Linked DNA regions of Drosophila melanogaster. The protein of the gene in region 2 interacts with the protein of the main gene of each other region in a pairwise test. Each region holds a gene or a part of one and is shown on either strand. Other genes may lie near its edges.

Region 1 (5,784 bases), on a different chromosome or scaffold from region 2:
TGAATTTCCTGCTCTATGGGATTTTCTTGCTTCGCATTTTCTTGATCAGGAATTGGTTTGATCTTCTTGTTTGGCCGGTCTTGGGGGTCTTTTTTGGGCCTCTTGGTTAGTAGATTGCCGGGAAAACCGGCCAGAGGAAAATCCGTGAAATTGGTCAACTTTTGGCACAACATCTCTGGGTTGGCTATCGGATTTTGCAAAAGTTTTCCGGCGGCGAGTGGGCTAGTTCCACTGGCAGGAAGATCCTTGTCGAAGTGTATATTAAGATGTGGCACCAGGAAAAGAAATTCATTATAGTAGCGAATTGAAGGACTCATTATCTCTCCACACTTCCTTCGAGCACGTTCGATAATGGTGTATTCCCGCTCAAAGAGCGTCCTTAGCTCCTCCAGACAGGATCTCAGTTCCGAGACGCTTCTTCCCGGAAATGAGCGCACCATTCTGTTGTAGCAGTCATCGTCGATATCTTTGTTACCATAGTAGCGATTATGGCGGTTGTAAAGGCTATTATGCTTGCTATAGAGACGTATAAGCTTCCTGACATCATGATCCTCCAATGAGATATGGTTTCCATTTGTCTCACTCTGATTCCTCGCCCGCCTGTCTCGTTTGCCAAACAAAAAAGAGAGAAATCCCCCGGATTTCTTTGTTTTCTCGATGCTATTGGGTGTTTTAGGTGGATCTAGTGATGCCAAAGCGGGCTTAATGCCTCCTGCTGACTGACTGTGGCTGGAACTGATCCTGGAGGAGTGGAGATGCATTGGCGTCACTAGGCAACTCGAAGCGGAACGCTTGAAGTAACAGTGCCTGTGTTTTGGTTCCATCCTCGGCGATCTGGCGCTTCAGTAGCGTCACATTCGGGTTCACCTCGCTTTCAACGGTCTTTGGGTTCTTTAATGGCAACAGCATTATAAATCGAAAAAATTTTGTACCATTATCTGGAAATATAACTTTTGTAATCCTGACTATTTTTTTTTTACTTTTTTTGGGGTGAATGTAAGTGTCACTGTGAAGTTTTTTCAAATGCTTGGAATTATATACCAATTTTTGCAAATTTCATAGACAATATGATTAACTTAATATTTAAAATATAAGTCTGACCAGGATTTTAATATAAGAACATAAACAAGATAAAAAAAAATTTTCAAGAATTTCAACAATTTCAAAACAACCACGCTTTTTAACGGTTTTTAACGAAATACTGAATCAGCTGTTCCTCGCTGAAAACTTTGCAACACTGCGCGAGAGAAAAAAGCGAGAGCAAGGCCGTGCAGTAAAAGAGCGAGCGAGAGCGGCCAAAACAACCAAAATAAAGTTACGTGAAATTATAAATAAAAAATAAGGAAATACACGTTCAGCTGCCGACCAGCCAAATACAACAAAGCAACGCTGTAAAAACTGAAAACACATTTCAGTTTATTTCGCCTCGTGCCATGTGAGCAACTTCAAATTGATATTGAATCGGAATCAGTGTGCGGGTGGTGCTAATTAGCGGAAGACGGCAATTTATTGAACGCGAAAAAAGCCCCACAATCCAACTTCCATTTCGACACGAAACCAACCACCCGCCAAATCAAATCGCCGTCGAGTTGTGCATCAAATGAATGTGCGAAAAGTGCAGTAAATCAATGTTTTTGTGAGTGTTTGAAAGAAGAAGACGGAAGGAGCGCCCACAACAAAAGCAAAGAGAGCAAGACCTAACGGGACACCCGAAACCAAAAACCTATCGGCACAACGACACTTTCTCAATAGCTATAGTTTTAGTTCATATGTTCATATCTCGGAAAATGGACGAGGTCTTTAGCCTACACATGGAGAAATTGGACGTTTACGACGGTTAGTATCTAATTTGCCGGAAGTTCTACTTAAACGTAGAACATATGTATATGATGGAATCTGGGTTGTATTTCTGATTAATGAGTTCATCAACTTTCAAGGAAATAATAATAGTAGTAGTAGTTGTAAACAGCTGAAGTATTGGGTATAAAATAACACTGATATGGGTAAAATCATAATAGACACTTTATTTGATTCAAGACTCGCATGATTTTAGCTGTATGAATCATGTCGAAAATAATAGAAATCACTATTACTAAATATAGATAATTTTAAAATTTAGATTCAGTGCAACATGGATACAGTGATTAAGTGTTACAATATAAACAAAAGTAAAAGAAAAGTACAACAAAAACAAGTATTTGGTGAGAAATGATAAAAACTCACCAATAATGAAAACCATTTATGTAGGATTTTAACAAACACTGTTCTCGTCTGCATGAGTGCTTGTCTTTGTAATAGAATTCGAGCAATTGCACCATTTTAATCGAAAAACTAAGATGATACACATGGTTAACAACCATGGGAAATGGCTTAAAAGTATGAAAATATAAGAAGGTAAATCAGGAGAAGCTCCTCGTTAGTCATTGTCCTTGGGATCGGGATCTGGTTCAGCGAGAATCTCCTGGATGATTCGATGGCCGTCCTCCGTTTTCTCACCCTGAATGATCAGATCTCTAAGCGTAGATATATGTTTTTCACTCGTCTCGATCTGAACCTTAAGAGCATCGTTTTGCTTCCTCAAATCATCGATGCGTTTCTTACGTTCCTCGGCCGATTTCTTGGTCTTTTCGCGTGTGCGCTGAACAGCCTGTTCCGAGAATAGTAATAAATCAATAGTGGGCATCTATTTTTGGGGACTTCTGGGGGCCACGGCGCCACAGCAACATGTTTCCCAATCTTTGCTCTCTGTTTACATCCAAAACTCTTAAACTTACCTCATTGTTTTTCTTTCTTTTTTCTTTGTACGCTGGATCGTCTGTGTGCGGACTTAATGGCGAATCGCTATTTTTGCTGGTCGACGCGGCAGTTCTCTTTTTGGCCGGCATTATCTCCGTGATAATACTGATATTTATTTAGTTCAAATTGGATCGCAATCGGACGGAAATGCAGAAGAAAACACAGCGATGTATGCGTTGTTTTGTTGTGAAATTACACGATAAAACAGCTGTTCATTAGCCCTCCCAGTGTTGCAAAATGCGCTGCCTACACTGCCCAGCCAACAAACAGTTAGCGGTATTATTTAATTAAATTAATTGCATGTTGAAAATCAATATTAAAACTCACCCAAAACCATAGCCATGGAATGCTATTCAAAAACTGTCAACCAGACACTTTATTTGGTTTGCTCAGACTTTCACTTTTTAATTTCTCAACTGTTTATACATTTTATTTGTAAAGACTGATTGCTTGTACGTAGATGTAGTTTAATGCAATAAAATTAAATGAAATGTAATACGTAATAGTCAATAAATGTTTTAAATAAGCAACAGTTAAAATTACCAACGTGTTTTTTCCAACACTCCACCCAATAAACAAATTGTGTCAGAAGTATTGGCTGCCGGCGCTTTACAGTACTGGATTATTTGCAACCGGCTTATTATTGCACAAAAATCTAGTGAAATGTCCTCGCCAGCCCCCAAATCGCCAGAGCTTTCGGATAAAAGCAAGAAATACGACAGACAAATCAGGTGAGGAGCGTTTTAATTGATAAATTCGGAAGCATAGCACTGATGACACCTATTTAGGCTGTGGGGAGAGCATGGACAGACGCTATTGGAGGCAGCCACAGTATGTTTGGTGAATGTTACGGCCGTCGGCTGTGAAACTGCCAAGGGACTGGTGCTACCCGGTATCGGAGGCTTCACTGTGGCCGATGGCAGCACCGTCAAGGAGGAGGATCTGGGCAACAAGTCGGTAGACCATCACACATTCCCTGACCACCATTATAAAGTCACTTTTTCCGTAGTTTCTTCCTCGATTCCAGCTATCTGGGCAAATCTAAAGCATTGGCTTGCATGCAACTTCTCCAGGAACTCAATCCCGACGTAAATGGCGATTATGTCGACGAGAGTGCCGACTTTTTATTAGCCAACAGACCGAACTTCTTCGACAGCTTCGATTTAGTGATTGCCTCCAATCTCAATGAGCAGACTTTGCTTCTCCTGGCCGAACGGTTATGGGAGCTTAACGTTCCATTAATCTACTGCCGATCGCTTGGCATGCTGGGCACAATACGCTTGCAAATACGGGAACACTGCATCGTGGAGGCGCATCCGGATAATCGACAGTTTGATCTGCGTCTGGAGCATCCATTCGATGCTTTGCGGGAGCATCTCGACGGCACCGAGGTGACCAGTAAGGTGCCCTGGTTGCTGGTTCTTCACAAATACCTTAATGTGTGGCAAAAACAACAAGCGGATGGGACTCAAACGCCTCGAAATTACAAAGAGAAGAATCAGTTGAAGGAGACCATTAGAGAGGAGATGAAGGCGGATGAGGAAAACTATGAAGAGGCCATCAAGGCGGTCAATACAGCCTTTGGAGCGGGACAGGTTCCCAAAAGCCTGAAAGCCATATTCGAAGATGATGCCTGCGAACAGTTAAACAAGAAGGTTGCCCATATAATCTGAATTTATACGTATACTTTACTTTCATTTGTTTTTCTTTTTTTTTTACAGAGCAACGTCTTTTGGATCATGGCCAAGGCCCTAAAGCACTTTGTGATACATGAGAATGAGGGCCATCTCCCTCTGCCTGGCGTTCTGCCGGACATGACTGCCAATACGGACTCCTATATCGCCCTGCAGCACATCTACCGCCAACAGGCGCTGCAAGACGCCGACCAGGTGTATCACAAGTGCCAGGAGTACCTTAAGCAGTTGGCTTTGCCTGCCGACAGCATTGATGAGAGAAGTGTGCGTCTCATTTGCAAAGAAGCAGCCGGACTGGCGGTCATAAGGGGTACACGCATTGCAGAGGAGTACGAGAAGAGCAGTCGCCTGCTACCACTGGGTAAAGATCTATCTATCTATTTTGGAACAACCTTAAATGACTTACCTTTCCTTGCCTTCCAGTTGAGGACAACGAGCTGCAGGGCAACCTCACGGCATACAACTTTGCGCTGCGCGCCTACGAGCGCTTCCTCAGCGAGTGTGGCAACATTCCCGGCGAGTGCATCGTTGAGCAGGACATTGGACGTCTGAAGAGCATTGCCGCCAAGATGCTTAGCGATTTGGGAATGCACGCCACCATCAGCGATGATGTTCTGCACGAGATTTGTCGATATGGCGGAGCTGAGTTGCATGCAGTGTCTGCTTTTATTGGTAAATATTCCATTTGGTTTATGCGTTGACCGATACTATATTCTGCTAATTCCTTTCAGGTGGCTGCGCTGCCCAGGAGGTGATCAAGATCATTACGAAGCAATACAAGCCAATCGATAATACTTTTATATACAATGCTATAACCACAGAAAGTGTCACATTGAAGCTATAAACAAATTGTATTTTCATAGAAATTGTACGTTCTTTTTATTCTGTGTCCCCAAATAACTAATTAAATTAGTCAACCAATTGAAACCCCTTCTATAATACTACTAACAAATTCGATTGCTATATTTACTTGGCTTTCTTTACAACTGCCGAAACACAGTATTTTTGAGCATAGAACCTACCGAACATAAAGAGAAATGGCACCATATAGGCAGCTCCGATTGGCGTTAACCATTTTCCGTACTCACAGCCCCGGAAAACTAATTGTGATGCCCAAAAGAAGATAATGGTAAACTGGACCAGCTGGAGGCCAGTTAAGTAGCGCTTCCACCAGAGGAACCTCTGGACTCGAGGACCCAGCACACTCAATGCATAATAGCTGTACATAATCACGTGCACAAAAGAGTTTATCATGCTTGGAAAAAAGGCTGCATGGAATACGAGATATTACTAC
Region 2 (7,268 bases):
TGGATACTCACTTTTAATTGACCGTTAGAAAGAAACAATGAAATTGTTAGGGTCCCTCTAAACAAGCTCTAAAAGAGTCGTCGACACAAGTTCCCCTTAAACTGTAAGCAAAGAAATGAAAAACGCAATTACTTATAGGCCCCACAAGCATTATGATACTACACTTCAGTTACAATTCAAGATAAGTTTGTTTTTTACCCAACCAAATAAGTAGTTCCTTGTTTGATAGGAGTACCTTTCAAAAATATCAGATAAGGTGCTTATAGAAGCACGCCCATTTTTTTCATTTTTTTTTTTTGCGGCTGGTGCTGCGAAAAGCTCTTTCTGAATTTCACAACAGCAGAGGCAAAAACAACAATATGGCGGCCACATCGGCAACAGGTCTTTATACACCAGATGGGCGCTGCGGGTGGGGGGAGGGGGTGTCTAATCAGCAGTTGGCAACCCCCCCCCCCGCACACCGTTAGCCACTAGTTGTCACTTTGATAATTGAGGCACACGTTCGGGTGGCTATGCCATTATCGCAAACAGATATCTAGAAATCGTGGAGCCGGCAAAAAAAACAAACACCAGAAAGCAATTACCTCGGTGGAAAATTTCCCCGAAAAGCACACGCGAGCTTTGGCTAATTACACACTAATATATAGAAATCTAATCACTCGAAGCGCCCTATAATTAAATGTTTCCACAAAAATCCCCTGACAGTATAAAGTTTGATTGTATCTGTATGCGTGCGTTTGTTCGACGCAAGTGACGTCAGCAGTGCACTTAAGTAATTCAATATGGCGACTCGCGAGTTAAAAACAACAAAAGCGCCCTCTATGTACTACACTACTACTATACGTATATCTATATTACTTAGCATATGGAATGCTGATTGCTTTACACTACTACTTACATCAATTCGGTAAATGTGTCTTCAAGATTGGTGGTCTGGTTTTTTTGGAAAACCCGACCGCGAATTCACTTGTCTTTTCTGCTACGCAATAGGTTGGGTGGTTCCTGGCACCACCACTTGTGTATTGCTTCAAGTCCGGCCGTTGCTCGGATATAAAGGATTACTTTCTGGGATAGCGACAAATGTCCACTGTTATTGTTCCGCGATGAACAACAACGATTGCCAAGTCTTTACACTGGGTTTCCTTGGTTATATGTATTCTATATGTATTTTATAGAACTAACTTCACTGTGCGATCTCTGAGTCAACCGACTGCTTGGAGTATTCACTACGTTTTGAACGGCTGCTAGTGGCGAACAGAAATGAAACTGTTGGATTTGCTGTGCACTGTGAATTTCATTCGTTGTGAAATTCAAAAAGCTCCCACAAACCAGTTTGCCATAGCCAGATACTTTTCCCTATCGGTGTGTGTCGGTGTATTTCAGATAAGCGTTCGCTGTGAGCAAGCAAGAGAGCGCTAAAATTCCCTGTTGCCGCCAGATGGCCTGCTTTTATAAAATTTCCCCGGCATATACTATTTTCATATGAGCTACAAGTTGGAGGCTCTTTGTCACAGCCGGCCGGTGTTTTTCATATTTGTATGTAAGTATGTACTTTACCGAACCAAACATTGCAAAGTACATTTTAGTGAGACTAAGTATTCATGAGTGAGATATATTATAGGCATGAGTCATAATCGTTTGCTTGGGTGGACCGACCTATCACAATATCATTTCTATTAAATAATTAGATACATACATTTTGCACAATGAAAATAAATTGTATTTTTGACTTTCAATGCAAAAATATATAAAGACCTCTTTTTAAAATTAATGAATTTTTTTTATTAATATCTATTTATTCATAGGTTTTTTCATCAATATGTAAAAAAATAATAACAAAACTATTAACAATGAACGAGAAAAACAACTAAGTTTCCAAGTTTGCACAGATTTGACACTGTCAAGAAATTTTTTGCACAAAGTACTTAAGCTATCTTAGACTTATAGTTCATAAGAAATTATAATAACTTGAGGTAATTCTAATACTTTGCATGCATACCCTTAGCATTAATAAAATATTGCAGAAGTTTTTTCATTGAAAAAATAACTTTTCAAGATCATTTTGTTTTGGGATCTTATATTCTTTGGGTCAAGAACTTTAAACAAAATTAAAAACACAAAAGAACGAGGCATGAGAATGCATGGTTATACTAAATAATAATATATGTACGCATCTGTATGTATGTATGTATGTATGCATTAGCCCAAGGGAGTGATTTAGTTGGAAGTCTTTTAAATTTCAGAGCAAATGCATTCATTTTCTAGATTGTTTGGCCTTTAAAAATAATAGACTGTGAACCCCACGACAATCCAAAAATCGTTGAGATGTGAACTTGGGAAATTTCTTCACGTTCTTTCTCTTTCGTACAGCTCATTCGCCCACATTTGAAGAGAAGAGCTTTCTTGTCGTGGTATTAGTAAGCTCTCTTTGAATGTGTGCTCAGATAAAAGCTGTTGAATTCTCGAAATCGAAAAGCTCTGCGTACGTACGTATGCATGTATGTATAACAGCTTTAACTGATAATTTAGAAATCCATGAGTCATGCTGATAAATATAAAGCGCAAAATGAGCTTCAGCGGTTGGCAAAAACTGTCATCATGTGATATTTGTAATGGGCCTGATCTGCAGACACAAATACAATATAACCAAGGGGGGGGGGGGTCATTTTGATTATTTGCCCACGTCCTCTGATTTTAGCCCCCAAAGCTGAGGAGCTTAAATGCCAGTCCACATATGCGTGCAAAAATATGTGACTTTCAAACGACAATCTTGCGCAGCGCACCGACTGGCACGAGCTCTTGGAATATCGAAGACGACCATCAACAATGGACGCCCTCAGTTGGCAAATTAACAAAATAAATGGCCAACACGTAGCGATTCGTTCAATCTTTTCACGATGAGTGCGCATTTTTCGATTCCACGAAATGGGAATGGAAAGGTAGGGCGTTTTGCATGTGTAGATGAATAGCAATTGATCTACAAAGCCCCTTCCTTGTTCGATTTGATTATCTTATCTTATCACTTTTATCTGAAACGTGATCTACATATGTACATACAATATAGTGTGGTGGTAGCTAAAAGTGTATGACTAAGTTTAAAGTGATTTTTTGCAACAAGCAGTTGTCTGGCATATCCAAAAATGTGTTTTTTTAAGCTGTTTCGGTGTGCTCAGTCTCTAAAGTTTTAAATTAGTAAAGCCAAAGATTTTTGTATCTTCCCTACCATATATGCATGAATGTCTGTAACTCAACAGGTCACCATTATTAATTATTTAGTAATCATCCTAAAGATACAAAATTTAAGACTAGTTACTTAACTAATAATATAGAATAAGATATAAGACAGAATCCGGTTTAGAAACCCCATATAAATTTATTATTTTAAGCGTCACGTTTTCACATGTAATCAAAACACCTATCAAAACAACGCCCTACAAAAGTTCACGATTACTATAGGCCTATAGGTAGGTGGCCTCATCTATCTATGTATACTCGACGTGAAGTGTACCCAGTGTCAATGACACCGCCAGCAACAAAGTTGTGGCAACAAATGTTGCTGGCTTTGGGAAAATGAGAAATGTGGCCAGTAGTTGCTTACCCTCCATCATGTTGCTGCCACGTTGAGCAGGTTCCAATGATGACGGCACTAATATGATCTTGATCCTTGTTGCTCCTTATCTCCGGTGACTATTTGACTTATTCGAATCGGTTTCAAAAGAAAGTGCGGCGACTAAAGCGACGGCGGTTAAAGTCACGCTTCTTTCGTAGCAACTTGGAGCGTCGTAGGATCTTAGTGCCCGTAGTGCCACCAGTGCCGGTGCCGATCGTGGAGGTCTCGATATTGATTGAATTGTTGCAATAAAACTTATTGTTATGCCAGCCGCGCATACGCATACACATAAAGTTGTTGAGCATGGGAACCTGCTGCTGCGAATGTTGCACACACATGAAGACAACGACAGGCGAATGTTGCATGACGTTCTTAGGCGACGCGATGTTGGATTTCCCGCTTTTTCTCGACACTGCTGTTGCTGTTAGTGTTGCACCAACCGCAGGCAGAACGAACATAATATTGGGGCAAAATGCCTTTGAAGTGTTTTTCTCTTTTTTTTTCTTTTTTTTTTTTGGTACGGTCAGCTGTTGCTTCAGTGATACCACTTGTGTAGATCGGGCGTATGCTTAATGTACTCGTCAAGTGTTCGTGTTCACAAGCGCTTATCTATATAGCATCTAGATACAACTGTTATCTGAGATACCGAGATACGAAGTATATATAGAAATTGTTTGTTTAATTTTCGCCAATTTATTGCGTCTCTCGCAAATGTTTTTCAGGCTGTTAATCACTCTGAACTTTGCACTCAAAGTTGAGTTTATCTGGTACGTTTTACACGAAAAGAAATTACTGTTCTATGAATAGGATATCTTTGTAACGAGGTTCAGCGTTTGATGCCATTAAGATGGGATTCTAAAACACGTATCGAAAATTTCACAAATTCCACGCTGATTTGCACACCGAAAGCTCTGTCGTTTGCCTTGACTCACTGAATTGTTGTTCTGTTCGCGACGAAGTATTGTTACTAACTGACTCAACTGCGAGCACTGGACGGCAGCCGCTGGCCGGGGTTGATATAATTTTGCTGACGTCGTTGCCGGTTTCATTCACCGCTCCGTCCATATACCCTTTCCCCACCACCAATATATATTCACATATATTCACACACACGCGCTCTCTCAGCTGCTGTGTCTATTTTCTATGGCCGTGCCCCCAAAACATTTCCACGCGGGGATCTTTTTCTCTCATTATTTTTGTGATGCGGAGGATGGGCCACTCGGATAAGTGGGTGCCTCTACTTCTTAGATACTACTCTACTCTAAAACCCTTAGCTGGTTGAAAGCAGCTGAAAAAGGTGTAAACAATGCATTAGCATCAACTGATTTAAGTTCTGAAAAAAAAAAATTTCCATGTGCTATTAACTTGAGGCAAAGTATTACATACAACACAGTTAAGTTAATATAACAAAAAATATATATATTTTCAATAAACTGTGCAAAACGCAGACAGATTATTCATAGCCGTTCATATTATTTGGCTAGCGACAGTCTGAAAATTGCACAGATAGCATTTCGGTCTAAATTGGCTACAATAGATAAGAGAAGCTAAAAAAAAAGAATAAATTTTACTCTGCACCCAGATAATTTAGAAACGTAGATATTAAGGTTGTAAGTAATAGCAACTATGTTTGCTCACAAAGGGTTAATAAACTGGTATTTAATAAAAAGCCGCGAAACTTAAGTATAGTTCAATACTTTGCGTATTTTTTCGCGCCTAAATATTCATTTATATTCATATGATCATTCACAGGATTTTTAATGTAAATGTAAGTATTTATGGTTACATATGTCACCTATGTCCGCTCCAAAAGGTATAGGGCAACTGGTTTGGCAGCCTGCCATGCAGCAACAACAAACAATACAGATTCGCACTCTTTCTCTCCACGTGAGTGAAACTCTCTCTCGCTGGTTGAGATTGGCTGATGCAACACTTGCCACACGTTGCAACAGCTGTTTTAGTCTGGCCCAGCTGATTCGTATTGTTGGCTTGTTGCCAGAGACTGCGAAAATCTCTTGGCAACATGTTGCCACAACTTTTGGAAAACTCATAGTGTTGTTAAACATGTTGGGCGAAATTTTCACACCGGTGCAGGGCAAAAAGGGGGTGGCTTAAACTGTAGCTGGCTGGCTGGCTTAAATTAGCCGGCCGATGATTCATTTTGGGGGTTGTCCACTTACATAAGATGAGCTCACCCAATGTGAAAACTCTTTAGTCGCTGGAAGAAACTGCGCATTTCGACACAGAAAAGCCTAAACAAGCAGAACGAACATTTGTTTTGTAGATTTATAATTTTTCAAAACATACAATCGCATTGCACTTTGCGATTGGCCTTGACACCCTGACGTGGTTCCATTTGGCGACACTGTTCCTGCTTTTATCTTCTCCATGGCGCAAGATAAAATCAGAAAGTACAACGTGTTGATCACCTAATGGCCAGAGTCATGCAAACCAAACTCTTGGTGATTTAAATCTATTTCCATGTCTGTCACAAAAGAATACTGCTTATTATTATATGGCGGGTTATAATTTACCAAAGTACACAAAATGTTACAATACAATACAGTTGAATATATACTAGTTAAATGTACATATGTTTTATAACAGCTCATTGGCTGTGTTTTAATGGTTTATAAATGTAAAGTGTTTTTAAAGCATTTTAAATTTCAAATGAAACATTTTTTTTGTGGAAGTGCTGTTTTTTATACTGTTCAGATATATCTCACTGATATTTATGATGATTCTTTAATCGTATGACTGTACAGTACCCTCACACTTTAGTTCTCTGTATGGTGTGTTGACTGTAGTCAAACCGCTCCCAAAGAAAGTCGGGCAAAGTGAATGTACCTAGGCGCGCTCCCGCTGAGCATTTGTTGTGTTGATGAGATTAAAACTGGAACTGGGAATGGAATTGAATGCGTCTTAAACGGAGAACGGAGAAATGAGAGGCTTTGTGGACACTTAAAAGTATGCGGCTCTCTTGAGCCGTACTTCAGTACGCTGACGTCGACTGAAGAATCGCTTTGTTCTGCGCTCTCAAATATATTTAATTTGGATTTGGAACTGGATTTATGTCAACATGCAATTTCTGCAGTGGATTTTTACACTATGGCTAATTGCTGGTTGCTCCGCTGGCCCGCAGAATGTCCTGCTGCTTCTGGCTGACGATGCCGGCTTCGAATCGGGCGCCTATCTGAACAAATTCTGCCAAACTCCCAATCTGGACGCACTGGCAAAACGCGGATTGCTTTTCAACAACGCCTTCACCTCGGTAAGCAGTTGCAGTCCCAGTCGCTCGCAGTTGCTCACCGGCCAGGCTGGTCACTCCAGCGGAATGTATGGACTCCATCAGGGCGTGCACAACTTCAATGTTCTTCCGGATACCGGATCGCTGCCCAATTTAATCCGTGATCAAAGTGGCGGACGGATCTTGAGCGGCATCATTGGCAAGAAACATGTTGGGGCCGCCAACAATTTCCGTTTCGATTTCGAGCAAACAGAGGAGCAGCATTCCATCAACCAGATTGGCAGAAACATCACCCGGATGAAGGAGTATGCCAGGCAGTTTCTCAAGCAGGCCAAGGACGAAAAGAAACCCTTCTTCCTGATGGTCGGCTTCCATGATCCCCATCGTTGTGGCCACATCACCCCGCAGTTT

The links. The genes of interacting proteins can lie anywhere in the genome.
Region 1: the proteins of Xrp1 (region 2) and Irbp18 interact in a two-hybrid assay, tested with the Drosophila melanogaster proteins (2 studies listed by BioGRID, with this or other methods).

The regions. Positions count from the first base shown.
Region 1 is NT_037436.4:11,095,226-11,101,009, forward strand, and holds Irbp18 (inverted repeat binding protein 18 kDa), read right to left. Parts: upstream 2,962-5,784; 5' UTR 2,917-2,961; coding exon of another isoform or gene 2,886-2,916; coding exon 2,775-2,885; intron 2,648-2,774; coding exon 2,417-2,647; 3' UTR 2,221-2,416; downstream 1-2,220. Other genes in the region: CG46439 (uncharacterized protein), read right to left, coding at 1-824; CG33947 (uncharacterized protein), read left to right, coding at 1,788-1,836, 2,867-2,916; APP-BP1 (beta-Amyloid precursor protein binding protein 1), read left to right, coding at 3,460-3,527, 3,585-3,749, 3,806-4,451, 4,518-4,851, 4,914-5,162, 5,222-5,334; Elo68beta (elongase 68beta), read right to left, coding at 5,457-5,758.
Region 2 is NT_033777.3:18,912,256-18,919,523, reverse strand, and holds the start of Xrp1 (Xrp1), read right to left. Parts: upstream 4,557-7,268; 5' UTR 3,599-4,556; intron 1,265-3,598; exon of another isoform or gene 899-1,264; intron 102-898; 5' UTR 12-101; intron 1-11. Other genes in the region: Sgsh (N-sulfoglucosamine sulfohydrolase), read left to right, coding at 6,690-7,268.